3 linked regions of the Diceros bicornis minor genome follow. The protein of the gene in region 1 binds, or shares a complex with, the protein of each later gene. Links are inferred from orthologs where the notes say so. Each region holds a gene or a part of one and is shown in the gene's direction. Other genes may lie near its edges. The genes, in order: tubulin alpha-1B chain, MATCAP1 and CAMSAP1.

Region 1 (10,226 bases):
GGGTTGGGGGAGAGAAAAGAAGCAATCAGAAGAGAAATTCCATATGTCCCCAACACCAAATCTAACTGCCAACTTTTATTCGTATTCATATACTATGGCTTCCTCCTATGTGTCAGTAGATAAACTATCATGCTCCTCTTCAAGGCAAATCCCTCCAATAGCACACTCGACCCCTTCCCGGTTCACTGCTCTAAAACTTTGCTCCTTAAGTTACCTCATCTTTTCCCCACATCATCAATTTCCCCCACCCTTTTGTTTATTCTCATTAGCAAACAAACATTCTAAAATATCTCCCATCTTTAAAAAAAAAAAATCTTCCCTTTATTGAACATCCCTATCCAGCCATTTCAGCTATCACTCTTTACTCTCTTAAAGCAAAATTCCTCAAAAGAGGTTTTTAATCCCATTTTTTCCACTTCCTCACCTTGCATTCTCTCTTAAACACATCCCAGTCAGGCCTTCACTCATCCCCACTGCTCCACTGAAGGCACTCTTGCCCAAGACACCAGGGACCTCCATATTGCCAAATCTAATAGCCAGTTCTCAGACCTCACCTTAGCTAGCCTCCCAGAAGAATCTGACAAAGTTATCTTTGTCAGATAAAGTTATCTCCTGCTTGAAACACTTTCTTCATTTGGTTTCCAGAACACCACACTCTTCATGATTTTCTTCCTACACCACTGGCTGGTCCTTCTCACTTTCAAGAAGGATCCTCTTCCTAATGTTTAAAAGCTGAAATGCTCCAGGGTTCAGTCCTTGGACCTCTTTTAATCTACACTTTCTTCCTAGGTGATCTCATCTAGTTTCTATGGATTTAAATTTATCCTCACAATTCATCTTCTCTGTACTTTAGCTTACTGCCTAATCATCATCTCTACTTAGATGTCTCACACTGCATCTCAAATTTAACACGTCCAAAACTGAATTTTTGTGTGTGTGTGTGAGGAAGATCAGCCCTGAGCTAACAACCACGCCAATCCTCCTCTTTTTGCTGAGGAAGATCAGCCCTGAGCTAACATCTGTGCCTATCTTCCTCCACTTTATGCGGGACGCTGCCACAGCATGGCCAGACAAGCGGTGCGTCGGTGCACGCCCGGGATCCGAACCCGGGCCGCCAGCAGTGGAGCGCCCGCACTTAACCACTATGCCATGGAGCCGGCCCCCAAAACTGAATTTTTGATTCCCTCCATTTCCCTATATCTGTTCCTCCTTCAGTATCCCCCAGTGTTGCTCAAGCGAAAAACCTTGGGGTCACAATTGACTCTTCTCTTTCTTTCTCACCCTACATCCAATGCTACCTTCAAAATATATCCAGAAACCCACCACTTTTTACCACCTCCACCACTGGTTCACCATGTTCCAAGCAACTATCACCTCCTCTCTGCATTACTGCAATTCCCTTCCAACTCATATTCCTTATTCCACTCTTAACCTCCTATGGTTTATTCTCACAGCAGCCAGAACAATCCTTTTAAAATCTAAAATAGAATATGTCACATCTTTGCTCAAAACTATGTAACGGCTTCCCATGACTTTTAGAATAAAACACAGTCTTTCCACGGCTAATAAGAAAGACCCTTTCATGATCTAGACACTGGCTACTTCTCTGATCTCATTTCATAACACTCTCCCCCTCACTTACTCTGCTCTGGTCCCACTGACTTTATTGATATTGCTTAAAAAAGACATACATCCTCGACCTCTGAGCCTTTGTACTTGATGTTCCCTCTGCTTGAAATGCCCACTCTATCACTTCATTCAGGTCTTTTTTTTTTTTTTTTTCCCCCCAAAGCCCCAGTAGATAGTTGTATGTCATAGCTGCACATCCTTCTAGCTGCTGTACGTGGGATGCAGCCTCAGCATGGCCAGAGAAGCGGTGCGTCGGTGCACACCTGGGATCCGAACTCAGGCTGCCAGCAGCAGAATGTGCGCACTTAACCGCTAAGCCACGGGGCCGGCCCTCATTCAGGTCTTTGTTCAAATAACTACCTCCTCAGAGAGGCCTTCCCAGATCAATCTATCTAAAATAGCACCCCTCTGTAACTTTAATCTGTTTTCCAGACTTTATTTTTCCTCATAATACTTTTCAGTACCTGACATTATTTTTCATATCTCTTTGCTACATGTTCATCTTCTTTCTCCTTCACTAGAATACAAACTCCATGAGGGCAAGGACGTATTTTGTTCACTGTTATATCTAATCAACACTTAAAAGGAGTACCTGCCATGGTAGAGTCTCAATAAATATTTGTCCAATAAGTAAATAAAAATAGAAGCCATATTGTTATCTATATACAATGGACACTTTCCAGTCTTAACACTACTTAACCTCTCTGCAGCATTTGACATTGTACCACTTCTGCTTCTTGAAACTCTGTCTTTCCTTGGATTGTGAGACCCTCAGTTCTCCCTCCCTGATCATTCCTTCTCAGACTCCTTTTATAGGCTCCTTTTCTCTACTTTAAATATGATCAGGGCCACCCCGTGGCTTAGCGGTTAAGTGCGCACGCTCCACTACTGGCAGCCCGGGTTCAGATCCCGGGCGCGCACCGACGCACCACTTGTCCGGCCATGCTGAGGCGGCATCCCACATACAGCAACTATAAGGATGTGCAACTATGACATACAACTATCTACTGGGGCTTTGGGGAGAAAAAGGGGAAAAAATGGAGGGGGATTGGCAATAGATGTTAGCTCAGGGCCAGTCTTCCTCAGCAAAAAGAGGAGGATCGGCATGGATGTTAGCTCAGGGCTGATCTTCCTCACCAAAAAAAAGAAAAGAAAAAAAAAAATGGGCCGGCCCTGTGGCTTAGCGGTCAAGTGCGCACGCTCTGCTGCTGGCAGCCCAGGTTCGGATCCTGGGCGCGCACCAACGCACTGCTTCTCCGGCCATGTTGAGGCCACGTCCCACATACAGCAACTAGAAGGATGTGCAGCTATGACATACAACTATCTATTGGGCCTTTGGGGGGAAAAAATTTAAATATGATCATTCTTCAGATTCCCTACTAAGGCCAGTGATGGGCATATTTTGAAGATAAAGCTGATAGAGTTTACAAATGGGATTGAATGTAGCAGTATGAGAAAAAGAGGATTCCAAGCTAATATTGATTCCCATTCATAAATGAAGCTGGAGAAAGACAATTAAGGCTCTAAAGTCATACAACTATTAACTGACAAAGTTATAACTGAATCCAATACTATCTGAAATCAAAGCCCATTTTCTTTCCCTTATACCATCTCTCTTTGGAAAAACAGAACACAAAATGACATACATAAATTTATACTACTATAATAAATAAGAATAAAAGGCCAAATGTTTGAAAATAGTTGATGCTTGGTAAATTGTTGCTATTTGTTATTTTTGTCTTTCCGTGTTGAGACGGTCAAATGAACAAAATATTTTGTGAACTTTTGTGTCTAAACCACAATATGGAACTATCAAAAATGTTACTGATTGCTTAGAACAGTAGCAAATGGCCATGATATTAAGTAGCAAAGATGAGAGTGGCTCGAATAGCAACACAGGGTTTTCCACTACATCAAAGACTCAAAGCAAATAGTTAGAGGCCCTGAAACAGTCCAACAAAAGAAAGACCTATATAATCAATTAAAATGTGAAGACAGTGGTTTATATTCTAGCAATAGATAATTATTATTTGTTAAATACAGACAAAGTGTATACATCCATATATAATGTAAACAAATAGACTCATGTAAGTTTAGCATGGGTAAAAAAGAAAAAAAATGTAAGCCTTTCCTCTTAGGCACTAGGGAGGTAGCAAAATAAATTAATTTAGCATCATTCAATATTTTTCTGGCATAAAGATATCAGACTAGATTATATTTAAAGGTCCCTTTTGGCTCTATTACTCTCTGAAACCTAAGGTATCATCACGGACCTAAAAAAAAACAAACCCTCAAGTACTTCCTCATTCACAACAGGGGAATTCAGAGATAACAAGGCTAGCAACGCTAATGGTTTTAGGAAGGTATCTGGGGAGACATATAGACCCACAGGAGCAAATCTCTGCAGTGAAAGCTCTATGGTTCTGCAGAGAGCTAGGAAGAGGGAGGTGCCTGCTTTCAAATGGCTTTCATCCAGAGCAGACATCAAAATGGAGTTCAGCTGGGTGGCTCCCTAACGTTCATTCTTCCAGTCAAGGCAAGCTAATTATTTTCCATCTCGTTTTAAGAATAAGTGAGACAACATTCAAATATATTCCTTTCTCCTATAACCGAGTTTGGGAAATGTGTGCAAATTTGGTTTTTGAGTCAAAAACCTTTTAACAGGACTACAAAAAATATTTATTAGAAATAAAGAACCTCCTTGTTTGCATTCCAGGTTCATACGAGTGGAGCTTATATATATATTCTCACAAACTACACATACACATTAACAGTCTAAATTTGTTATTTGTCTGATATGATGGGTGACATCTTTACCAAATCTGAATAAGGTAACACTGATACACTATCACTGGGAGGATATTTTGAATAGTGCAGTAACAGCAACAGGTTTCTGCTAGGACCATTTTAAAGCCACATTTTAACCCTAACTAACCACCTAATGCATTTCTAAGGGTTAACAATGTAGTTTATGGTCTTGGACCAGATTCTCCCGAAAGGAAAAAAAAAAAAGTCTATTCACTATAATCTGGGCCTCTTAGCACTAAGCTGTAACTGATCTATCATGACATAGCAGAAAGCAGTTATTATTATATAAAGAGTTTTACAAAACTCTAAATTACACAAGGAACTCCTACTTCCTAATAGCCTTCAGTGTCAAACAATTTCCTCCCTACCCAAGTTTCTATCATCTCTTCTTCAATTCAGCTACCAAATTTGAAATGTGTCTTTAAATCTCCCTTTTTAAAAGCCCCTAGAGCTATTCCACAAAGTCGGTGGTTTAGGTCTAAAAATGGGGCCTACTCTGCCTTTCTTTTCTTTCCATTTTTTAAAAATATGATAAAAATACACATAACATAAAATTTAGCATCTTAACCATTTTTAAGTGTACAGTTGAGTGGTATTAAATATATTAATAATGTTGTGCAACTATCACCACAATCCATCCCCATAACTCTTTTCATCTTGTAAAACTGAAACTATATACCTATTAAAAACTAACTTCCCATTCTCCCCTCCCCCAGCCCCTTGCAACCACAATTTTACTTTGTCTCTATGATTTTGACTACTCTAAGTACTTTATATAAGTGGAATCATACAGTATTTGTCTAGGAACAGCAGTTTTTATACATTGTGCATCAAGCAGTACAAGACATTGATGCCTGAGAGAAGGGGAACAAATGAGGCGAGCCCTATGATTACGCCAGCTTTCTGTCTGAAGAGGTTTTACACTGCAATGCAGAGAGGGGAACCCAGGCGAAGCCTGGGGGTGGAAAATGTAAACAACAGAAACAAATAGCAAGATGGTAGAGGCAAACTCAACCACATCATTAATCACATTAAATGTAAATGGTTTGATCACCCCAATTAAAAGGCAGAGATTGTCAGATTGGATTTTAAAAAGCAAGGCCAAACTATGCTGTTTACAAATACTCTGCCCTTTTAACAGATTCGATGTTCAATGCTCAGGTACTACTCTTTGACTGAAATATTATTTGCTGCCAACAAATAGCAAGTCATTACAGTAAACCAAATAAAACTATTCCATTTTCTAAACCTCACGTCCTCCACATTGTCAGGTAAGTACAGAATGCACTGCCTTTAAAGGAACTGAGAAAAGAAAAAGGCACAACTCACTGACAAATTGTGGCAACATGAAAATTATCAGCTGAGCTATCCGGACCAGAAGTTTCTGCATTTCATGGTGCTTCATCTTTAAAACTGTATGGATTTCTTAAGTCTTAGGGTTCGTCCAAATTAAGGCAAGCCTCCTTACCCATTCCCCTGCCGGCTTGTTTCCGGCCCTGCGCCCGCCCCCCGCCCAGGCCCTGGCAGCCATGCGCCGCAGACTGCAGCACCCGAGCTCGCGGCCCGCAGGCGCGGGCAGGGGACCCCGGGCGGAGAGCCCGCCTCTGCGGCGACCGAGCCGGGCGCCGAGTGGACGCGCCGGGCCGGGGGAGGGGCCCGCGGCCGTGGCGCCGCCTGTGCCCGCCGCCCCCCCCCGGACCGCTACTTAAGTGGCTCCGGCGCCGCCCCAGCCTCAGTGCGTTACTTACCTCGACTCTTAGCTTGTCGGGGACGGTAACCGGGACCCGGTGTCTATTCCTGTCGCCTGCTAACCCGTAGCCACCATGGTGAGTGGGCCGCACGCGGCGCCGCCCTTGCTCGGGAAAATGGGGAAGAGCGAGCCGGGGAGAGGCGTCGCGGAGGGCCTCTAGTTGGAGAGGGCCGGGACCAGCGCTGGCCATCTGGAGGGCAAGAAGCGAGGCGAGAGGAGAGGGCGGGAGTAGATAGACCCCGGTTCGTGGAGAACGGCTGAGGCTCGGAAAGAGGGCGGCCACCGCGTTTTCTTCTCGGACTCTGGGAGGGGATGGCGGGGTGCGGGCTGCCCTCCGCCGTGGTTAAGGCTCTCATTTAGCCCTTAATTGATGAGCGCGGCGCCCCCAGACTCGACAGTCTTTTCCCGCGCATTCCCATCCCCCCATCCTTCCCCCGCCTTTGGCGGGCGCGCGCGGGCTCTCCCCGCCCTCACTTCCTCCTCAGCTAGAAAGCGGAGGCGGGAAGGGGCAGGACACAAAAGCGCAGGCGCGACCGTTACCTTCCCGCCAGAGAGCGGCGGGAGACCGCCACTGCAGTCTGCGCGTGCGCGCTGGGGCGCTGCGGGTCTATGGCTAGAGGGCGCGGCTCCTGTTACCGAGTTTTCTTTTTTTTTAAATGGAAGCACTAAGATGAATGTGGAGAAGGGCTCCTTGTCAGTGTACTGCACTACGCCAGTGTATTAGGACAATTAGTTCCCAACAGCCTGTAGAGGCCATCTGTCCCTCCTTGGCCTCTTTGTTGCGTTAGGAATGTGTGTGGGAGCAGGTGGTGGCGGTGAGGATTTTGAGGGAATGGAAATCGGATCTTGGTCCAGATCTGGGCCGCTGATAATCCCCTGCTGCGCCCTGACAGATGTGGAGGTGTTGGGCTGAGCCCAACGCCTGCGGGGAATGGAGGATGGTTGGCCATGGCAGCGCCTCTGCAGACGTGGCTGCTGCGTGCCTCTGCAGCTGCGCGGCCCCGCCGGCCAGGGTGGGGGCGCGGGCGCGTGCCCCTGAATTGCTCATTCATCCAGTGCCGCAGAGCCCCGCCCCTGGTCCCTGCGGCCAGACATTTCCTCTGCTCTGGACACGTGCTTCCTGTGCTGGTAGCTGCCCGGAAATCTGGCCACCTAGTCTAAAATGGGATTCTGGGGCCTGAGCACTGGATGGATGGCTTCCACCCTATCTTGATCCTCCAAAGGAGGAAGCTGTGACTAAGCTCTCTTCTTGCCCTAGAAAGAGGCCTTGGCAATTTAGAAGTGGAAAAAATTCAGTAAAAGCAGTGTAGATCAGAAAGATAGCAGTTCTCCCCTAGGAAAAGAGTATTATATTTTAATTCATTTTAAAAGAGGAAATTTGTAAGATTAAGATTCCATAAGTATTTTGTTCTGCTTCATAGTCACTGCTAGATAAGTTTAACCCTGAATTTTGTTTTTTTCCTTCCTTTTCCACAGCGTGAGTGCATCTCCATCCACGTTGGCCAGGCTGGTGTCCAGATCGGCAATGCCTGCTGGGAGCTCTACTGCCTGGAACACGGCATCCAGCCCGATGGCCAGATGCCAAGTGACAAGACCATTGGGGGAGGAGATGACTCCTTCAACACCTTCTTCAGTGAGACGGGTGCTGGCAAGCATGTGCCCAGGGCAGTGTTTGTAGACCTGGAACCCACAGTCATTGGTGAGTTGACCACACTAACCTGAGTGAGATCCCAGGGGTCTGGGACAGGAGGTCTGTCCTGGGGGCTCCGCTGATGCCCTGGGGTTGAGCAGGCTTGTGCAGGTGGTTAGTGATGGGTGGCTGCTTTGTCTTCCTTTTCCAGATGAGGTTCGCACTGGCACCTACCGCCAGCTCTTCCACCCTGAGCAGCTCATCACAGGCAAGGAAGATGCTGCCAATAACTATGCCCGTGGGCACTACACCATTGGCAAGGAGATCATTGACCTCGTCTTGGACCGAATTCGGAAACTGGTATGTTTATGCTCAAGAATAAAGTAAATAATGAGCCTAAGGAAGACATTTGAAGTAGGCTCCTTGGGCCGGCCCCGTGGCTTAGTGGTTAAGTGCGTGCTCCGCTACTGGCCGCCCAGGTTCGGATCCTGGGCGCACACTGACGCACCGCTTCTGCCCCCATGCTGAGGCCGCATCTCACATCCGGCAACTAGAAGGATGTGCAACTACGACATACAACTATCCACTGGGGCTTTGGGGGGAAAAATAAAGGAGGAGGATTGGCAATAGATGTTAACTCAGAGCCGGTCTTCCTCAGCAAAAAGAGGAGGATTAGCATGGATGTTAGCTCAGGGCTGATCTTCCTCACAAAAACAACAACAACAAAAAATGACATAGGCTCCTTTCAACACAGAATTGAAATGTAATAATGAATGAGGAATTATTCTTTTATAGTTTTTAAAAAAACTCAATTAAAACATGAACTATTTGGTGTCATTTTGTAAATATTAATACAGATATTTTTTAATTAAGAAATGCTGAGTGATTCCAGGAACATCTACATTTTTTTCCAAGTGTTTCTTGTCAAAATAAGAGCTATATCCTTGGAATTGTATGAAAAGTGAAAATAGATTTACTATGATTATATCACAAAAAGCAATAACTATGTTTTCTCTTTCCTCTTTTCTAACAGGCTGACCAGTGCACAGGTCTTCAGGGCTTCCTGGTTTTCCACAGCTTTGGTGGGGGAACTGGTTCTGGGTTCACCTCCCTGCTGATGGAGCGTCTCTCTGTCGATTATGGCAAGAAGTCCAAGCTGGAGTTCTCCATTTACCCAGCCCCCCAGGTTTCCACAGCTGTAGTTGAGCCCTACAACTCCATCCTCACCACCCACACCACCCTGGAGCACTCCGATTGTGCCTTCATGGTAGACAATGAGGCCATCTATGACATCTGTCGTAGGAACCTCGATATTGAGCGCCCAACCTACACTAACCTTAACCGCCTTATTAGCCAGATTGTGTCTTCCATCACTGCTTCCCTCAGATTTGATGGAGCCCTGAATGTTGATCTGACAGAATTCCAGACCAACCTGGTGCCCTATCCCCGCATCCACTTCCCTCTGGCCACATATGCCCCTGTCATCTCTGCTGAGAAAGCCTACCATGAACAGCTTTCTGTAGCAGAGATCACCAATGCTTGCTTTGAGCCAGCGAACCAGATGGTGAAATGTGACCCTCGTCATGGTAAATACATGGCTTGTTGCCTGTTGTACCGTGGTGATGTGGTTCCCAAAGATGTCAATGCTGCCATTGCCACCATTAAGACCAAGCGCAGCATCCAGTTTGTGGATTGGTGCCCCACTGGCTTCAAAGTTGGCATTAATTACCAGCCTCCCACTGTGGTACCTGGTGGAGATCTGGCCAAAGTACAGCGGGCTGTGTGCATGTTGAGCAATACCACAGCCATTGCTGAGGCCTGGGCTCGCCTGGACCACAAGTTTGATCTGATGTATGCCAAGCGTGCCTTTGTTCACTGGTACGTGGGTGAGGGCATGGAGGAAGGAGAGTTTTCTGAGGCCCGTGAGGACATGGCTGCCCTTGAGAAGGATTATGAGGAGGTTGGTGTAGATTCTGTTGAAGGAGAAGGTGAGGAAGAAGGAGAGGAATACTAATTAGCACTCCCTTCAGCACTGCAGCATGTCATACTCAATTTCAGCTTCAACGTTAGCTGACAGGCGTTAAAGCTATCTGGTTAAATTGTCTTCGCTTTTAACTGTGATCATGTTTTGCTTTTCCATGTGTACGTGTAAGATTTTTCCATTATGTCTCAAAGTAAAGGCTTTAAGAAAGAAAGTTTGACTTCTGTGCTTTTTCTAAATTGATTTCTCCAATGCAAGATGTATTACTAATTATTTCTAGAGGATAAAGTCTGCAGGATAAAGTCTGCAACAGGGCAGTGGGTGATAGCAAGGACCTCACTTTCTATCTAGCTACCTGTATGGGGAAGAAGGAGCACACTGGTCTGAAAAAGTATGCACTGGATTCTGACACTGTTCTGTTAAAATCA
Region 2 (9,484 bases), on another chromosome or scaffold:
TCCTCCCTGCCAGGTCTGGCTGGAGCTCTATAGGGCAGTGAGAGGAGTGACTGCCCTGGGGGACAGGCTGAGGAGTAGGAAGGGGAGCAGGTTCGGCGGCCACTTCCTGCAGGCCCTGCCCAACTGACGTGGCTGCCCAGGCTCTTCCTGCCCAGGGCCTGAGTGGCCGGAGCAGGAGAGGGCGGAGCGGCTGGCCCGAGGCGCAGCACTCAAGTGGGCTTCGGGCATCTTCTACCGGCCGGAGCAGCTGGCCAGGCTGGGCCAATATCGCAGCCGTGAGGTGCAGCGTACCTGCTCCCTGGAAGCACGCATCAAGGTGGGCAGCAGGCAGGGGGCAGGAGTGCTGGGGGTGGGCTGCAGGGCTGGCCAGACATCACTGGCTGCCTCTCTCTCACAGTCGGTGGTGCAGTCATACCTGGAGGGCGTGAAGACTGGGGTGTGGCAGCTGGCTCGGGCCCTTGAGGCCGTGCAGGGAGTCCATGAGGCCCTGGGCCAGGCCCGCGGGTTGCTCCGGGGCATGGCAGAGGCAACACAGACCCTAGAGCCGCTGCGAGAGCGGGTTGCCCAGCACAAGCAACTGCAGGCCCTGTCTCAGCTGCTGCCCCGGCTGCAGGCAGGTGAGTGTGCAGGGGCACTGGGCCTCAGCCTTCCAACACTTAGTCAACAAATGCCCATCACTAATCAAGGGGCGGGGGCACTAGTGAGAGACTGCATGGAGGGACACACCACAGACCTCCCAGAGAGTAACTTAGGCTTCAAATGGCATATGAAGCAGGGTGCAAGTCAGCTCATTCTGGGGTTCCCAAGCATGGGATGTCTGAGTCAGGACTGACACCCAGTCAAGCAGCTCTGGACACCCTCATTGTTAATATGTTGAAATATCCCTAAAAGAGTGGGTGAATAGCCACTAGCATGGTCCCCCAGTTCCTCCCTGTCTTCCCTCCAGGATCCCTGACTTCCTCACGTTCCATCAGCTCAAGGGTTTACACCAGGCCCACCAGGCTGCTAGGACCTTCCCTGGCTCCTTTCAGATTGGCCAATGCTCTACTGTACCAGTTATTAAATATTTTATTTATTTATTTATTTATTTTTTGTGAGGAAGATCAGCCCTGAGCTAACATCCATGCCAATCCTCCTCTTTTTGCTGAGGAAGACCGGCCCTGAGCTAACATCCGTGCTTGTCTTCCTCCACTTTATATGGGACATCGCCACAGCATGGCCTGACAAGTGGTGCATCGGTGCGCGCCCGGGATCCGAACCTGGGCCGCCAGCAGCGGAGTGCGTGCACTTAACCGCTACACCACGGGGCCGGCCCCGGTTATTAAATATTTTAGACATCACCGCAGCCCCAGGGCCTCAGCATCTGCTGCTGTACCCATTACACAGGTGAGAAGGCTGAGACCCAGTGCTGTCTTCTTTCCTCCATCCTTAGTGCCGGCTGCAGTGGCCCACACACAGACCCTGATCAGTGCCCAGCGGCTCTTGGAGGCATATGTGAGCCTTCGGGAGCTGGAGCAGCTGCGAGAGGAGACCTGGGCACCTCTCGGGGGCCTGGAACTGCCAGTCTTCGAGGGGCTGGGCCATCTAGCTGAGGCATTGGGCCAGGCTGTGGAGGCAGCTGCAGGGGCTGCGGGGCAGCTGGCACGGGAGGACCCAGCCCTGCTAGTGGCTGCTGTGCGCGTGGCAGAGGTGGATGCTGGGCATACAACCTCCCTGGAACAGGCTCCTCGGGACTGGCGGCAGCGCTGTCTGCAGGCACTACAGGAAGGCCTGGAGCGGATCCACTTTGGAACACTGTTGCCTGGGCCTGGGGCCCTAGAAGGGTGGCTGGAAGCTCTGCGGGTGGCTCTACCAGCCGAGTTGGCCACAGCTGAGGCACTAGTAGCACCCTGCTGCCCACCACACTACAAGGTGGTCCAGCTCTGGGCCCACACCCTGCACAGCGGCCTGCGCCACTGCCTGCAGCAACTCCTGGAAGGGCCTGAGCTGGGAGCTGCTGATGCCTTCACCTTGCTGCATTGGGCACTGCATGTGTACCTGGGGTCAGTGCCCTTGGGGCAATGGGAAGTGGGTGGGTCAGAGGCTGGGGGTTCAGCATGACACTGGGCTATCCATCTCTAGGCCAGAAATGATGGGGAGCTTGGAGTGCCTGGAGTTGGGGCCTGAGGCTGACGTGTCTCAGCTGGAACCCCTCCTGACCGCAGAGAACATAGAACATCTAGAGGCAACATTTGTGGCCAAAGTCCAGGTGAGTAGTTGGGGCCAGGTCCAAAGAAGCTTTGCCACCAGCTGTGGGCCTGTATCTGTTGAGTCACATGTCTACCTGTCTCTAGCAGTATCAGTGTCCTGCTACATCCTGCTGCCCCTTGCTCCTTCCCCTAGGCAAGTGTGGCCCAGTGGCTGCAGAAAGCACTGGATGGGGAGGTAGCCGAGTGGAGCCGAGAGCAAGAGCCTGACACAGACACGTCTGGCTTCTACCACTCACCAATGCCGGCCATTGTGCTGCAGGTGGGTGGGAAGTGGTGAGGCAGGTGGGCAGCCCCCTTAAGGAAGGGGAGGAGGGCAGGGTTAAGACTCTGCTGATGGCTGCCCATCCCTGCCTGTAGATCCTGGAAGAGAACATTCGTGTAACGAGCCTGGTCAGTGAGTCGCTGCAGCAGCGGGTGCATGGCATGGCACTGTCAGAACTGGGCACATTTCTGAGGAGGTCTGCCATGGCACTGACCTACTCCTAACCCCTGGCCCTACTCCTGGGGCAGCTCAAAGGGGCTGCGAGTGAATAAGGCACACCAGTGGGAAATGGATCCTCCAAAACAGGGCCTTGGGTATCTTGGAGGTGGGGCTGGAGTAGCAGAGACTGGGGTTGTGGGAGCACCACAGTGACAGCAGGTACAGGAGCCACCTCTGCCCTTTGCAGCTTCAGTGATGCTCTGATCCGATTCTCGCGAGACCACCTCAGGGGGGAAGCAATGGCCCCTCACTATGTACCCTACCTACTGGCCACCCTCAACCACCAATCAGCACTCAGGTACCAGGAGGCCCCCACTGAACCCCACCTTCACTAACCCCTAACTGAACACCTATTAGGTATGGACTCAGCCCACATTAGGCCATTAGGAATTTTGGACTCATGTAGCCCTGGGGGTCCAATCCTAGTTCTACTAATTACTATCTGGGTGACCTTGAGCGAGTTACCTAATCTCTCTGAATCTTGCTTTTCTCATAAGTATTGTACGGGTAATAAGGGGATGTTCTGAGAATCACATGATATAACAAGTGTGAAGTACTTACCACAGTGCCTGGCACATAGTCATTATTCATTCATTCAACAATACTTACCAATGCCCTACTCTGTGCCAGGTAATGTCTGGGGTTACAGCTGTGAACAAAGAAAAAAAATTCCTGGGCTGGCCCCGTGGCTTAGCGGTTAAGTGCGAGTGCTCGGCTACTGGCAGCCCGGGTTCGGATCCCGGGTGCGCAACGACGCACCGCTTCTCCAGCCACGCTGAGGCCACGTCCCACATACAGCAACTAGAAGGATGTGCAACTATGATATACAACTATCTACTGGGGCTTTGGGGAAAAAAAAAGGAGGAGGATTGGCGATAGATGTTAGCTCAGAGCTGGTCTTCCTCAGCAAAAAGAGGAGGATTAGCGTGGATGTTAGCTCAGGGCTGATCTTCACAAAACAACAACAACAAAAATTCCCTTCCTTTTGGGTCTTATGTTCTTTGGAATGGGGGCAGAGAGGACAAACAAGTTAATGATGATTTTTACTCCCTCTTGCCAGTGATTAACTCTCTCCCCTTATAGAAACAGAAACCAAAAGATATGATTTGCTCAAGGTCACACTGCGAATTAGAGGCAGGTCCGGCTAGGCTGTGTCCCTTCTAGCTCGCTGAGCCCACCACTCCCAGCCTCAGTCGACGACCCAGGCCTTCAGAAGTGCCGGGAGCCGCCTTTCTTGCCCCCTCCCGCCACACACTTGCGCCACTAGGTGGCGCTGGAGTGGCTAGACAACCGAGGGCCGTGTGGGCCTTGGCCTTGGTCCTGAAGCTGTACTTTTGGTCGGTCCAGCTCCTCCGTGTCCGTCCTGCAGCCCAACGGGGAGGCTTCAGGGGCCCTGGCTCCGGTGGAGGCAGCGCTGGACGAGTTGCAGAGGAGGATCTGCCGCCTGGTGTTGGAGGCGCTGCTAGTGGAGCTCCAGGTGAGGCTTCAGGTGGGGATGGGGGTGGCAGGAGGAGATATAGCGTATGTATGGGGGTCTCTGCGGGGAATGCCGGGTCTGGATCGTCCCTCTAGCCCCGTCTTTGTCCCCCCTCCTCTAGCCCCTGTTCGAGGCTCTGCCCTCGCGTCGGTGGCTGTCGAGCTCGGAGCTGCTGGACGATGTGTGTGAGCGGACGGCGCGCTTCTGCCGGGACTTCTGGCGCGTGCGGAATCCCGCGGTCCAGGTGAGTTTGGGGGGAAAGGCTGGGGAGCGGGAAAGCGCCCATGAAAAAGCCATCCTGGACGCATTTGATCGCTCTCCCCGCAGCTGCTGCTGGCCGAGGTGGAGCGTACTGTGGTGCTGCAGTACCTACGCGCGCTGATGCAGGGCCGCCTAGTGTGCCGCGGCGCCGAGGAGCGGACCCAGGCGGCCGAGCGCCTAAGGCACGATGCCGCCCAGCTTCAAGAGCTTTTCCTCGGTTTGGTGAGAGCTCGTTGGGCGAGCAGATAGGCGGGAATCTCAGTGGTTGGGTGGGGGCCGAGGGCCGGCGAGAGACCTATCCCCACGTGCTCAGGGCCTGGAGGAGAGCGTTCAGTGCGCGCCGGTGCTGCTCGCCCTGCGGGAGCTGCTGAATCTCCGCGACCCCATGCTGCTTGGCCTCGAGGTGGCAGGCCTGCGGCAACAATTTCCCGATGTGAGGTGCGAAGACTGGGTGGGGGAGAGGGATGGGGCAGAAAGGGAGGAGGGACTTGGGGGGGCGGGGCGGGGCTGACTCACCTCCGTGGTGCCCCCTAGCGAAGATCACGTCTCTGCCCTCTTGGACCTGCGCGGAGACGTGTCCCGAGAGCAGCGCCTGGCCGCACTCAGCTCCCTGCAGGCTGGCCCACAGCCCTCGCCCCCAGTGGGTCGTCGAGCACTCTTCAGCCTCGTGCCAGCCCCTACGCCCGCGCCGTCCTCCTGCCTCCCCTCGAGGCCCTGTGCGTGACACCTGGCTTTCCGCAGAATAAAGCCTCAGCTCCCCTACGCCTGAATTATGTGTGTTGGGGAAGGGGGCATGAAATAAAAGTGCCCGTGAAGGTTAGGGGGTCTACGCACAGTGACATGCCTCAGGTATCCTGGCTACAATCCTGATATACGGCGTGCGCCCCACCTATTCCGGCATCACCTTTGTGTGTGGACTGCGTTCCCAAGTACCCGGGCTTCTGCCCCAGTACGCACACTACGCTCCCACGTATCCGCGCCGGGGCAGTGAGCTCCGGTCTCCTCGGCCCTGACTCGGATGACCGAGTAGCACCCGAAGCCCTGAAACACGCCTGACCCTCGTGAAGGGGGCGGACTTAAGACAACGCCCCGCCCAGGGGCGTGACCTGTTGGCGGACACCGCCCCCTCTGCTCTGCCTGGCCCCACCCCAGCTATGTTCTGGGGCGATCGCCGCCGCGGAGATTGACGCGAATCCGCGAGCCTTCGTGTGAGCGTGCGCGCGCCCGAGTACTTGCGTCACCAGCGTCGGCTCCCCCGGGCTGGGCGGCTGGCTACTGGTGTTGCGGAGCGGGAACCGCGGTGGCAAGAAGGGGAGCGAACAGGTAGCGGCGCGGCACGCGGACGGAATCCCCACCCCCACCCCCGAGAGGCCGAGAAGGCGCGCGACGCGACCCCTCCTCATCTGCTAGGAAACCCCCTTCTATTGTCCTCTGGCCCCTCCCTCCATTGGGCACGCCCTTTGCCCCATTGCCCACCACTAATCGGCTGCAGGTCACGCCCCTCCTCGAGCTCCCCGTCCCCATTGGCTCCTCTTCCACGTTATCCTCTCCCGGAGTTTCTCATTGGCGCAGGCCACACCCTCTCATCTTTCACTAGACTCCGCCTTCAGTCTGGGCTCCTCCCCCAACCATCTTGCATTCATTCTGCGTCTAGTGCTGGGTGCTTGGGACATGAGGGTGAATCAGACCTGTCTTTGCTCGCAGGGAGTTCAGGGCATGGTAGGGGGACACGGACCTAGGCTCTGATAGTGACAGCCTAGGGCGGTAAAGAAGCCACCTAGGCACTAGGAGCCTCTAAGACATCGGGAAGCCTTCCTGGAGGAGGTGAGGCCTAAACCGAGCACTAATGGTTAAGAGTTTGCTCCAGGGAGACAGTGGGAGGACATTCTTGGCAGAAGGACCTGAGACGTGAAAGAAACAGGCATACTCTAGTAATTGCAAAGAGGTAGGTCGAAAGAAAGAAGGGGAGATGCTGGTCCAGGTAGAGGCTTGGAGACCAGAGAGGGTCCAGAAAAGTTTGCTGTTAGTTGAGGGGAGTGAAGCCTGCAGCTCATCACTAGGCAGAGTGGAGGGAGATGGGGGAGAGGGGATTGGATCTACATGGGGAAACAGGGCAGGGGAGGAATGATTCCAGTTCTGAGACAGAGGAGGGCTCCTGGGTTCATTCATTTTATTAAGCAACTGTTCTGGGCCAGGTAGTGTTCTGAGTTCTGGGGACACAGCTTTGAACACTAAAAAGTGGAAAACAGATAACTAACCATTAAATATACTGTACTTCAGATGGTGATAACTGCCAGAGAGAGCAATAATGTGGGGCAGGGGAGGTTTACTAGTTTATAGAGAGTGTGTTAGGGAGGATTCTCTAATAACATATTTGTGCAGAAATCTGAGGAAAGTGAGAGAGCGACCCCTGCAGTTTTATGGGGGGGAAACATTCCTGACAGGGGACATGTTCAGTTTGAGATGCTTGCTGTACATTCAGGTAAAGATGTTGAATTGAGAACTGGCAACACTGGTCTGAAGTTTATGGAAGAAGTCTGGGCTGAAGATTTTTTTTTTTTAATTTTTATTTATTTATTTATTTTTTCCCTCCAAAGCCCCAGTAGATAGTTGTATGTCACAGCTGCACATCCTTCTAGTTGCTGCATGTGGGACGCGACCTCAGCATGGCCGGAGAAGTGGTGCGTCGGTGCGTGCCCGGGATCCGAACCCGGGCCGCCAGCAGCAGAGCGCGCGCACTTAACCGCCAAGCCACGGGGCCGCCCCAGGGCTGAAGATTTTAAAACCATGAGAGTGGATGAGATCAGCTAGGCAGTGAGCATAAATGGAGAAGTTTCCATAGAAGTTTTCATGTCTTAGGGCATCACAGTGTCAGGAGGTCGGAAAGCAGGAAGACCAAGAACGAACACCGAGTGTGGTAGGAGGGGAACTATGTTTGAGTGTATTTGAGAAGCCAGGTGGAGAGTGTGTTTCTAGGATGAAGTGATTAACTGTGTCAGGTGCTATTGATCAATATGAAGATCATTGGTGACTTTGGTCAGATCAGTTTCGATGGAGAGTGGGGGACAAAAGCCTAATTGGAGGGGAATTTGAGAGAGAACAGGAAAGAAGGCATTGGAGATTGTTGATGACTCGAGGTGTGCTGCAACAAGGAGCAGCTGGAGGGAGAGGCAGTGGATCTGAAGGAGCGTGGAGTCAAGTGAGGGTTTTGTTTTGCTTTTTTGAGATGGAGAAATAACAACATGTGCTTATGCTGATGGATAGAATCCAGTAGAGAGGAAGAGACTGATGATGTGGGAGACATAAGAGAGAGGGGAAATGCTGGAATTGTGTCCCTGAGGAGGCAAGGGAGTTTGGAGGCTGGAGTCTTCTGTCAGTCTCTGGGGAGAGGCTGGATTGGACTCAGCCCAGGTACAGAGTCAAGGGTGAGTGTCCTGACACCGCCCTTAGATGACCACTAGAAAGATGCCTCTGATAGGGGACAGACCAGGGATTGGCTTGGATTTGCTGAAGTTTCCCTGCTCCCCAAAACCAGATTTTAATTTGGATTTGAATAGATGGCCCAGAGGAGAGAGAGCATTCCAGGTGGAGGAACTAGCATAAGCAAGGGGCAGTCAGGCTTTCAAAATGACTGAGGCCAAATGGGCTGGAAGAGGTGGGTGGAGCCAGGTGGGAGGGGAGGAGTGAGACTGTGAAAATGCCATAGGTAGAAGGCAGGTAGAAGGTAGTGAGGCCCCCTCACCCATCATCCTGGCAGCTGAGGCTACACTATACCAGCTCCCAGTCTGGGTGGGCACAGGGATTAGAATCACGAGTAGGGGCTCAGGCCTTGCTCTCAGGAGCTCACAGGCTAAGGGGATTCCAGTAACCACCATCTCGGTGGATGTATAAGACTCATCCTCCTGCTTTACTCCAGTCCAGCTTGCTTGGGTGAACCTGCTGGAGGGAATGGACACTGGGGTAGAGGTGAGGGGGCAGCCACCGAGACCCCTGGAGGCGGGCCATGGGCCCAGCAAGGGCCCAGCAAGGGCAGTGTGGCACACGAGGCCTCTTGGTCCTCAGGCCACACCCACTCATGTTGGCCTCCCCATGTCCTTCTGTGTCCCCAGAAGCCGACAGTGTGGGGAGTTGGAGTGACCGGCTGGATGTGACCCCCAGGACAGAATGGTGCTGGACTCAGGGGCTCAGGTGTATCAGCAGGCACCCCCCAGCCCACCAGCCAGTCCCTCATCCTTGGACCATATTCTGAAGCCCTCAGACCGAGATGGGACGCCGCTGTACCCCTGGCCTCCATCCCTGGCCTTGCCCCTGGCTCTGTCAGTCCCCTCAGGCCTGCGGCCCCGGCCTGAGCTGCAGCCCTTCTCAGAGCTGCACTTGGGCCACCGTGGCCACATGCGTCGCAGTGAGAGCACCTACACCGTAAATAGTACTGGCCGGCGGGGGGCGGGCACCCAGGGTCGGGCCCCACCTAGACGGGGACAGGGCCCAGGTGGGGGCACCCTGCGGTCTGCGGCCTCCCTGCCTCACATTGCTAAGACTCGAAAAGATGCAGGCCGTGGTGCCAGCAGGAGCCCCTGCATGTTGGTGGCCCTGCGGCCAACCAACATGGACCGTGAGCGGGACAAGTTCTTCCAGTCCCATTACACCTACAACCCACAGTTCGAGTACCAGGAGCCCATGCCCACGGCTGTGCTGGAGAAGTACTGTGAGGCCTCTGGACAGTTCATCCATCAGGTCAGTCCAGCCTGCCCACCTCACCTTGGCTCTGTCCACCCAAGAGGCCTGGCCTGACCAGCCACTGTGGCCCTGTGTACAGGCAGTTGGCATCATTGAGGCTGTCCTGGAGAAGTTCGGTACCTATGAACACTTTGAGGCTGCAACCGGGGGCCAGCTGCTGACCAAGTGCCAGATATGGTCCATTGTGCGCAAGTACATGCAGAAGGAGGGCTGCGTCGGGGAGGTGAGCTTGCCCTGCCTGTGAGGCCCCTCTTCATGCCCCATACCAGGCTGCTGAGT
Region 3 (9,795 bases), on another chromosome or scaffold:
TAGATTGAGTGAGTCATCAAAAATCTCCCAATAAAGAAAAGCCCAGGACCAGATGGCTTCACTGGTGAATTCTACCAAACATTTAAAGAATTTATGCCAGTCCTTCTCAAATTCTTCCAAAAAATTGAAGAGGGGAGAACACTCCCAAACTAATTTTATGAGGCCAGCATTACCCTGATACCAAAGCCAGATAAAGACACTCCAAGAAAACCACAGACCAATATCCCTGAGGAAAATAGATGCAAAAATTCTTGGGGCTGGCCTGGTGGCATAGTGATTAAGTTCATGCATTCCACTTCAGTGGCCTGGGGTTCACTGGTTCGGATCCTGGGCGTGGACCTACTCACCGCTCATCAAGCCATGCTGAGGCAGCATCCCATATAGAAGAGCTACAACTCTGCAACTATGATACACAACTGTACGTACTGGGGCTTTGAGGAGAAAAAATTTAAAAAAGAGGAAGATGGGCAGCAGATGTTAGTGCAGGGCCAATTTTTCTCAAAAAAAAAAGGAAAAAAAAAAACCTCAACAAAAGACAAACTGAATTCAACAGCACATTAAAGGATCACACATCATCATCATCAAGTGGGATTCATCTCTGAGATGCAAGGATGGTTCAACATATGTAAATCAATAAATGTGATAACCACATTAATAATAAAAAGCATATAATCATCTCAATAGATGCAGAAAAAGCATTTGACAAAATTCAACATCCTTTCATGACAAAAACTCTCAACAAATTGGATAGAGAAGGAATGTACCTCAACATAATAAAGGCCATATATGATAAACACAGCTAACATCAGAAGCTAAGATCAGAAACAAGACAAAGGCGCCCACTCTCACCACTCCTGTTCAATATAGTCCTGGAAGTTCTAGCCAGAACAATCAGGCAAGAAAATGAAGTAAAAGACATACAAATAGGAAAGGAAAAAGTAAAATTGTCTCTGCAGATGACATGACCTGATGTATAGAAAATCCTAAAGATGCCACCAAAAAACTGTTAGAACTAACAAATTTAGTAAAGTTGCAGGGGGCCGGACTGGTGGCACAAGCGGTTAAGTGCGCGTGCTCCGCTGCGGCGGCACAGGGTTCGCCGGTTCAGGTCCCAGGCGCGCACCGACACACTGCTTGTTAAGCCATGCTGTGGCAGCATCCCATATAAAGTAGAGGAAGATGGGCACGTCTGTTAGACCAGGGCCAGTCTTCCTCAGCAAAAAAAAGAAGAGGATTGGCATCGGAGGTTAGCTCAGGGCTGGTCCTCCTCACAAAAAAAAAAAAGAAAAGAAAAAAAAAATTTAGTAAACTTGCAAGATACAAAATCAACATACAAAAAGCAGTTGTATTTCAATACACTAACAACCAACTATCTAAAAAAAGAAATAAGGAAAACAACCCCATTTACAGTAGCATCAAAAATAATAAAATACTTAGGAATAAATTTAACTAAGGCAGTTAAAGATCTGTACACTGAAAAATATAGACACTGATGAAAGAAATTGAAGACACAAATGGAAAGATATCCTGTGTTCATGTATCAGAAGAATTAATATTGTTAAAATGTCCATCCTACTCAAAGCCATCTATAGATTCAATGCAATCCCCAGCAAAATCCCAATGGCATTTTTCACAGAGAAAAAATAATCCTAAAATTCATATGGAACCACAAAAGACCCCAAATAGCCAAAGCAATCTCGAGACAGAAGAACAAAGCCAGAGTCATCAAACTTCCTATATTACAAACACTATAGCACAAACTATATTACAAAACTATAGAAATCAAACTATATAAAAACAAACTATATAAAAACATGTAAATATAAAATACAATATAAAGTAATAATATTATAATAAATATAAATATAAAATATAATAATATAAATAATAAAATAAATGTAAATATAAAATATAAAAACAAACTATATTACAAAGCTATAGAAATCAAAACAGTATGGCACTGGCATAAAAACAGACACAAAGACAAATGCAAGAGAATCAAGAGCCCAGAAGTAAACCCACGTATATATGGTCAACTAATACTCAATGCAGAAAGGACAGTCTCTTCAATAAACGGTGTTGGGAAAACTGAATACTCATATGCAAAAGAATGGACCCCCATCTTACACCACTCACAAAAATTAACTCAAAATAGATTAAAGGCTTAAATGTGCAAAACCATAAAATTCCGAGAAGAAAACATAGGGGAAACCTTTTTGACATTGGTCTTGGCAGTGATTTTTTGGATATGACACCAAAAGCACAAGCAACAAAAGCAAAAACAACAATTGGGACTACATCAAGCTAAAAAGCTTCTGCACAGTCAAAGAAACAATCAACAAAGTGAAAAGGCAACTTACAGAACGAGAGAAAATATTTGCAAATCATATACCTGATAAGGGGTTAATATCCAAAATATATAAAGAACTCATACAAGTCAATATCAAAAACAAAAGTCCAATTTAAAAAAATGGGCAAACGATCTGAACAGACATTTTTCCAAAGAAGACATACAGATGGCCAACAGGCACGTGAAAAGGTGCTCAACAGCACTAATCATCAAGGAAATGCAAATCAAAACCACAATGAAATACCACCTCTAGCTGTTTGAATGGCTATCATCAAAAAGACAGGAGATAACAAGTATTGGCAAAGATGTGGAGAAAAGAGAACCCTCATGCGCTGTTGATAGGAATGGAAATTGGTACAGCCACTTTGGAAAACAGTATGGAGGTTCTTCAAAAAATTAAAACTACAACTACCATATGATCCAGCACTCCCACTTCTGTGTATATATCCAAAGGACATGAAATCACTATCTCAAAGAGATATCTGCACCCCCATGTTCACTGCAACATTAGTCACAACAGCCAAGACATGGAAGCAACCTAAGTGTCCCTCGATGGATGAATGGATAAAGGAAATGTGGTCTATATATACAATGAAATATTAGTATAGCCATAAAAAAGAAGGAAATCTTGCCATTTGTGACAACATGGATGAATAGGGCATTATGCTAAGTTAAATAAATCAGAGAAAGACAAATACTGTGTGATCTCACTTATACGTGGAATCTAAAAAACCAAACTCATAGAAACAAAGAGTAGATTGGTGGTTGGCAGGGGTTGGGTGGGAGGAATGGGGAGATTTTGGTTAAAAGGTACAAATTTACAGGTATAAAATGAATATGTTCTGAGGATGTAATAATGTACAGCATGCTGACTATAGTCAACAATACTGTATTGCATACTTGAAAGTCTCTATGACAGTAGATCTTAAATGTTTGCAACACACGTGCACACGAAAAGGTAAGTAGGTGAGGTGATGGATGTGTTAACTAACCTTATTGTGATAATCGTTTCACAGTATATACCTATACACGTACCAAATCATCACATTGTATACCTTAAACTTACACGATATTATATGTCAGTTATATCTCAATAAAGCTCACAAAAAAAAAATGATTTGCCAAACTTGAAAAACACTTTATACTCTATGATCAAGTGGGATTTATCCCAGGAATGCAAGGCTGGTTCAATATCCAAAAATCAATCAATGTAATACACCACATTAATAGAATGAGTAAAAATACCCCAAGTGATTATCTCAATAGTTACAAAAAAAGTCACACAAAAAAAGTTTGACAAAACCCAACACCCTTTCTTGATAAAAACACTCGACGACACAGGAATAGAACGGAACTCCCTCAGCCTGATAAATACGAAAAATCCACATTTAACATCATATGTTAGTGGTGAAAGTCTGAATGCTTTTCTCCTAAGAGCAGAAACAAGACAAGGACATCTGCTCTACTACTTCTGAATACAATGTCAAATAACATTGTACTGGAGAAATAAAAGGCATCCAGATTGAGGAGGAAGAGGTACAACTGTCTCTCTTCACAGATGTCATGATCTTATATGTAGAAAATCCACTAAAAAACTGTAAGAACTAATAAATGGGTTCAGCAAGGTTGCAGGACACAAGATTAAGATAAAAACCCCTTGGAGTCGCCCTTGACCTGTTGCTTTCTCGAGCACTCCACATCCCACCTGTCAGAGGTTGGTCTCCCTGCTTCCTTCCTTGCCCTTCCTACCTTCTATTCTGCTCCCAGGAACCAGAATGTTCCCTGTAAAGGGTCAGTCACATCCTTCCTGCCTGTGCTCAAAGGCCCTCTATGGCTTCCCATCTCACTCAGAGAGGAGGCCACAGTTCTTACAAGATTTGCCACCCCCGCGCCCCTTTCCTGCCAGTGTCTCTCCATGCCTGGTTCTGGATGCAGTGGCCTCCCTGTCTCTTACGTACCCGGCACTCCTACACCCCTGCCCAGAACACACTTCCCCAGACAAGCTCCTGCTTGCCCCTGGCTCCCTGCAGGTCTTTGCTCAAAGGCCCCCTTAGTTTTCCTTGATGGCGGCCCCAGCGCTGCTCACTGCCTCACCTACCACACATGCAGTCATGTTCCCTCCTCACTAGACCTCAGCTCCCCGAAGGCAGGTGGGGATTTGTGTTTTGCTCTCTGCTGTGAGCCAGAGTGAGGCTCATGCCTGCACATGAATAAGTGTTTGTTGAACGACCGGCTGGGTCCTTGAGCTTACATCACCTGACAACCTGGGTTTTCTTTCCGGCTTAGCACGGCCGGTGAAGTGAGGTTGGGAGCCATCCTGGCCGTCACTCCCAGGACACCTTATTCATAGGAAACTGTTTCTTCCCGCTTTCCTCAAGGCCTTGGATTTCTGGACCCCAGTGCGTGGCACAGAAGCCAGCAGCCCTCTGTCAGCTCAGCTTTGAGGTCCTCAGCCGAGCACCGGGACACACGAGCTTTCACACGCTGAGGTTTCACGGTGTTACTATAATTATTAGTCCAACACAGGCTTTATCAGGACGAAGCCAGCCCCTTCTGGGGGACGTGCCTGAGGCCGATACCCACGGCTGCGCTGGGGGCTGAGGATGCGCAGTTTATCTCAGGTGTCCAGAGCCCACTTCCCGGGACCGTGCCCTGGAGACCACAGCTAGTGCCTGCTGGGGGCGCACCGGCACAGGTGCTCCTGCAGGGAAAGGGGTGCGCCCCGCTGCCAGCGCTGCTGGCTGGGAGGGGAGGTATTCCTGAGGCTGCTCTCGGGGTGGGGTCCCCGGGCTCCGAGCCCCACTATGGTGGGAGGCACCCCCAGTGCTACTTTGAGGGGGTCTCTAGGCACCAAGGGCCTTTGTGTGTGTGTGTGTGGGAGTCCCGGGCTCCCGGCGCTGCTGGGGGCAGTGGGGAGGGGAAGTATCCCCGGGGCTGCTCTGGGGGCGGGGGGTCCCCGGCCTCCCAGCGCTGCTCTCCGGGAAGGGGAATCCAGGGCTGCTTGGGGGGGGGGGTCCCCCAGGCTCCGAGCGCCCCCTCCCTCCGGGGCCGTCGCCTTCTTGAGGTCGCAGTCGGCCCACGCAAGGGCCTCCGCGAGGGGCTCGGCCCCGTCGCGCGGCGGCTGGGGTCCCCTGGTCTGGACGACCCAGTCCCAGCAGGAAGAGACCCGGCCCAGACAAAGGGCTGCAGCAGGCCCCGCCAGGGCCTGTCAGCCCGCGCGACCCCGCGCCCGGCGCCCGCGGGAAGGGGCGGGTCCTCTGGTAGCGCCCACTGCGCCTGCGGGAAGGGGCGGGGCGAGCGCGGGCCGGGGGCGGGGCCACAGGCTGCGCCCACTGCGCCTGCGGAAAGGGGCGGAGCGAGCGCGGGCCGGCAAGGGGCGGCGGGCTGCGCCCAGTGCGCCTGCGCAGGGCCTCAGCGGTGCGCGCGCTCCCGCCGGTTGGCCGCCTCCTCAGCCGCCGCCGCCCCCGGCTCCGCGCGCGCGCCCCCCGCCACGGCCCGCGGACCAGCCTGCGTCCCCGCTTCGCCGCCCCCCGCCCCCGGCCTCCCGGGCCCCGGCCTCCGGGCCCGGCCCCGCAGCATGCGGCAGCAGCACGCACGGCGGCGGCGCCGGCGGCGGCTGTGAGGTGAGGCCGGGCGGGCGGGGGCGCCGGCCGCGGTCGGTGCCGGCCCCTCGCGGGTCCCTCCGGCGCGGCGGGGGCGGCGCCTTTGTTGCGGCCTCGCCGGCGCCGCCCGCGCTGCAGCGGCCTTTCTGTGTGCAGATGGTGGACGCGGGCGGCGGCGCGGCCGGCGAGGGCTGGCGGAGGATGGAGGCCGCGCCCGACGGCGCCGTGGACATCGTGCCGCTGGACCGCTACGACCCGGCCCGCGCCAAGATCGCCGCCAACCTGCAGTGGCTCTGCGCCAAGGCCTACGGCATCGGTGGGCGGGGGCGGGGGAGGACACGGCCCGGGGGAGGGGGACGGACGGGGTCGGGGGCCGAGTTGAGGCCGGAGACGCACGGGCTGGGGCTCCTTTGTGCGCCGCCCGCCGCGCAGGGTCCCGGGCAGTGCGGGGCGTGGTGGGGTTAGGTCCGGAGTGGACTGGCCGCGTGCGACCGAGCGGGGTGGGGGGTCGGCGCCGGAGTCCTCCGGCAGGTGCAGCGGGGCCGGCCCGGGGAACCTCCCCCGGAGCCGGGCGGGGCGCGAGTCCGCGGTGACACCCTGGGTGCCCGGCCGGCTCGACTGTCACCGAGCTCGCCGGTGGAGTTCCCCACGAGTCGTTGCTTCTCAGCTGCACCGTCTTGATCGGGGCCCACCTTCGGTGAGCCTGTCCTGCAGAACTAGGTAGCCTTGTTAGGAGCCAGTTTATTAGGCCTGATATTCTTAGTGGATTAAGACTCGCCGGTTTCCAGCTCTTGGCGTTTCACAGACCAAGTGATTCTCATAATCGCTTGGCTCCCGAGGCCTGCTTTATTAACTTGAGCTGTTTTGTTTTAGGTACGAAATTAAGAGTTAATACTGCGTAGTCTTTTTTCTTTTCATTTGAAGCAGTTTTTAAAAATTGCCTTCGTTGTGGGGAAGACGTTTCTGATTCCAGAGTGAGACTGAAGTGGAGAGAGAACCCTTTCAGGAGGGAGGCTGGTGACCGGGTCTGAAAACTCGCGGAGCAGGCGTGCCCCTGTGACGGGCTCTCACCGGTCCGAGCGGCCTGTGTCATGGCCAGACTCAGTTAGTCATGAGGCTAAACTGGCTCTGCAGGTCTCGGGGATTAGATGCGTCCCCTATTGCAGGCTGATTTCATGGTGTGCACCCCGAGTTTTCTCCTTTATTTTGCAGTTTCCAGTTTTACAGCGAACTTGATTCAGTTTCTCTATAGTATGATGGGGAAACATTGTCGCGTACACGAATTTACATGATTTTGGGGGAAATATGGAATTGCTAACAAGTGTATGTAAAATTTTAGAGTGAGGTGTAAAGAGTAACACCGCAGCGGCCACTGGGTTATGTGGCAGTCAGTTTAAGGAAAAGCACGCGACCTGACCTCGTGTGGGGTCCCCTGGGTGTGCCGGGGTCCCAACCTCATGTCTTGCGTTGGCGATTGGTTTGCTTTTCTTTATATTTCACCGCATGTGTTTACATCACTGAACTGTATTTAGTTTTCCCTATTTTTGCGCCCTTGGTAGTTATGTCCTCTGCTGAGACTGCTTTATTCCACATTCTTCCTAGTTTCTTCCTTCCCACTCCTCTCCTTGCTTTTTCACTGCTGTGTGGTGTTTCGCTGGAGGCCTGTTCACTGTTGGTGGGCACTGGTCAGGTTCCAGGTCTGTGTTCTTAAGCACAGTGCGTTCTTGGGCACGGCTCCTGGGGCACATGTGCAAGGTTTCACACTGCTGTGTATTTTTAAGATTTTATGTATGGAAATAGCTAAGGTTCTAGTAATGAATGCTATATAGACACAAATACTTCTAAAAAGCCGTCTCGTTATTTGCTTTCCAGTTTCTTTAGCAAAGTGAATGCATTTTTATTGTGTTACATTTAGCTTTGGCATTCAGCGTGGGATTTGTCCGCTATCTGGAAACAAATATGCATCCCTCTCAGGGTTAGTATTGGGTTAGTGTAGTTTTATTTCCAGTACCAGATCACTTTGATACTTGTTGACTCATCAGATAATTAATTCAAAAGCTGATATTAAAATAGGCTTTAGGGTGTTCAATGATTAAAGGTAGGTATTTACAGAACAGAAGGTGAGCAGGAGCTGAAGGAGACTGGATGCTGTCTGAGGATCTGCGGCTGGCTTGCATGTTGCCCGTCGGTCACGATCCCTCGGCTGAAGTGTGCTCATCACACACGGATTTTAGGAGGCCTGCTTTCCATTCATTGTTGCTGAATGAGAAGGCTGTTCCATTCTATGCTGTGTTTCGGGAAGGGCACAGATGTAGTTTTGCTCTAGATGAGAATCTCTTTTTAAGTTGACATATTTAGGAGATCCCAATTCAGATGACCAAAAAAACTCACCTCCACTCAGCTGAAGTGATTTCATCTGTGTCGTCAGTGTGTGTGTGTGTGTGTGTGTGTGTGTGTGTGTGGGGTCCACAGCCCTGGCGGAGTTTCGCTGCTACCCTCAGGGGGTCTGGTCTTGCAGGAGACTGGGTGGGGAGGGATTTGGGTAGGATAATATAGATTTTTTACCCCAAAACTCTTTTCCTAATCCAGGGGCCTATTCTTTGTTTCTCCTTTTGGACATCTCCATGTGCCTCTCCAGCTTAGTTTTCAGTTAATTAGACATGATTCTTTCAGTCTGCACGCTTTAATTGTAAATTGTTTTTGAGGGGTGTGATGGTGAAAGTGGCCTAAATGTTTTTCTTGTTCTGTAGTTGTTCATTAAGTAGCTAAATGAAACCGAACAGTCTTTTCTGTTTGTATAGGAATTGAAAGCATGCAGACACTCTCAGGCGAGGTGCTCTGAGGCTGCCTTCTCGTTTGCGTTTGCCTTTTGGGACTCTCCGTGTCCCCGGGGCCACCGGCCGCTGCCGTTTGTAGTGAGTGAGGAGCCTGGGGAGAGCTCACCCTTGGCCAGGCCTTGTGGTGGCACATGGTTATGCAGAAACGTTTCCTCCGACTTTCTTCATCTCTGGTGCCACAGCCAAGAACTGTGGGCCCTCTTGTGTTTTTATTTTTAGATTCTGCCCCTCCCTTTTTGGGGTAACTCTTGTTTCATTTATAGTGTTTTAATTGTTTTTTTAGAAGTAATATATTGGACATGTTGAAAGTTATTAATTTAAAAGTGTGGGAAGCAGTTGAGTCTGCTTAGCTGGAATGTTTTGTGATGTCCTTTTGATTGACAATTGTAATAAATTGGTAAAAAACTTTAAAGGAATGACTTGAAGTACCATTTATTTTACAGAATAGAGCTGGGCTGGGGCTGCTGCATTCCTGGCTTTTGATTTTAGTCCACGAGCTTAGGAAACTTAAAGGTATTTAGGCCTTGGTTTCAGGAGACAGTGGGGGAGTAATAGCTTTTGTTAACTCCCAAGGACAGTGTTGAAAAAACAACCCAGGGAAAGTACTAGAAGGCACTCAGCTCTTTGCAAGCATGTTGCTATGTAGCTCAGTGGTGGTGGTTTCACCCTCTGAGGCGCCCTGGAAACCACGTTGAGACTCACCACAACTCACCATGGAGCTGTGCTTCCCTGGACTGGGTGGGACCGTAGGGGCCACCGAGGTTAATCTTCTCTTTTTAGTAGCAGCAAACTGGGATGGAGAGAGACCACGAGGCTGTCCAGAGCCCACCGCTAGTGAGGGATTAGCACTCTCATCCTCTCCCTCTCTCCTTAGAGTAATTAAACTACTGATTTGGAAACTGTGTTGTGGGACGCGAAATCTGTGCAGTCATTGATGAGGTATCTGTAATCCAGCCCCGGCCAGCTGTCTCATTGTCTAGACCACAAGAATAGCTTGGACTCTGTT

What was found.
Region 2: the proteins of tubulin alpha-1B chain (region 1) and MATCAP1 are in contact, whole or in part, in a cryo-EM structure (PDB 7Z6S), measured with the Homo sapiens proteins. The link is inferred for Diceros bicornis minor from reciprocal best matches to the Homo sapiens genes TUBA1B and MATCAP1. Residues at the interface, in NP_006073.2 of Homo sapiens: Asp345, Trp346, Arg422, Glu423, Ala426, Ala427, Glu429, Lys430, Asp431, Glu433, Glu434, Val435, Gly436, Val437, Asp438, Ser439, Val440, Glu441; in NP_001035805.1 of Homo sapiens: Lys219, Cys220, Trp223, Val226, Arg227, Gly237, Glu238, Val239, Val240, Val241, Gln242, Leu243, Met253, Met254, Val255, Glu256, Asn257, Ser258, Arg259, Pro260, Thr261.
Region 3: the proteins of tubulin alpha-1B chain (region 1) and CAMSAP1 are in contact, whole or in part, in a cryo-EM structure (PDB 6QUS), measured with the Homo sapiens proteins. The link is inferred for Diceros bicornis minor from reciprocal best matches to the Homo sapiens genes TUBA1B and CAMSAP1. Residues at the interface, in NP_006073.2 of Homo sapiens: Lys112, Glu113, Asp116, Val409, Gly410, Glu411, Gly412, Glu415; in NP_056262.3 of Homo sapiens: Ser1471, Ser1472, Lys1473, Lys1557, Ile1568, Pro1569, Ala1570, Ser1574, Val1575, Ser1576.

Annotation. Positions count from the first base shown.
Region 1 is NC_080756.1:20,528,744-20,538,969, forward strand, and holds tubulin alpha-1B chain, read left to right. Parts: upstream 1-6,156; 5' UTR 6,157-6,260; coding exon 6,261-6,263; intron 6,264-7,663; coding exon 7,664-7,886; intron 7,887-8,028; coding exon 8,029-8,177; intron 8,178-8,850; coding exon 8,851-9,831; 3' UTR 9,832-10,012; downstream 10,013-10,226. UniProt on the Homo sapiens protein: Tubulin is the major constituent of microtubules, protein filaments consisting of alpha- and beta-tubulin heterodimers. Microtubules grow by the addition of GTP-tubulin dimers to the microtubule end, where a stabilizing cap forms.
Region 2 is NC_080771.1:19,067,811-19,077,294, reverse strand, and holds the start of MATCAP1 (microtubule-associated tyrosine carboxypeptidase 1), read left to right. Parts: upstream 1-5,702; 5' UTR 5,703-5,791; intron 5,792-5,848; exon of another isoform or gene 5,849-6,292; intron 6,293-6,300; exon of another isoform or gene 6,301-6,413; intron 6,414-7,185; exon of another isoform or gene 7,186-7,667; intron 7,668-8,577; 5' UTR 8,578-8,632; coding exon 8,633-9,202; intron 9,203-9,284; coding exon 9,285-9,428; intron 9,429-9,484. Other genes in the region: EXOC3L1 (exocyst complex component 3-like protein), read left to right, coding at 141-617, 1,433-2,042, 2,122-2,248, 2,383-2,508, 2,607-2,707, 2,918-3,028, 4,078-4,207, 4,329-4,451 and 3 more. UniProt on the Homo sapiens protein: Tyrosine carboxypeptidase that removes the C-terminal tyrosine residue of alpha-tubulin, thereby regulating microtubule dynamics and function. Also able to remove the C-terminal phenylalanine residue of alpha-tubulin TUBA8.
Region 3 is NC_080767.1:42,863,715-42,873,509, forward strand, and holds the start of CAMSAP1 (calmodulin-regulated spectrin-associated protein 1), read left to right. Parts: upstream 1-5,857; 5' UTR 5,858-6,108; coding exon 6,109-6,268; intron 6,269-9,795. UniProt on the Homo sapiens protein: Key microtubule-organizing protein that specifically binds the minus-end of non-centrosomal microtubules and regulates their dynamics and organization. Specifically recognizes growing microtubule minus-ends and stabilizes microtubules.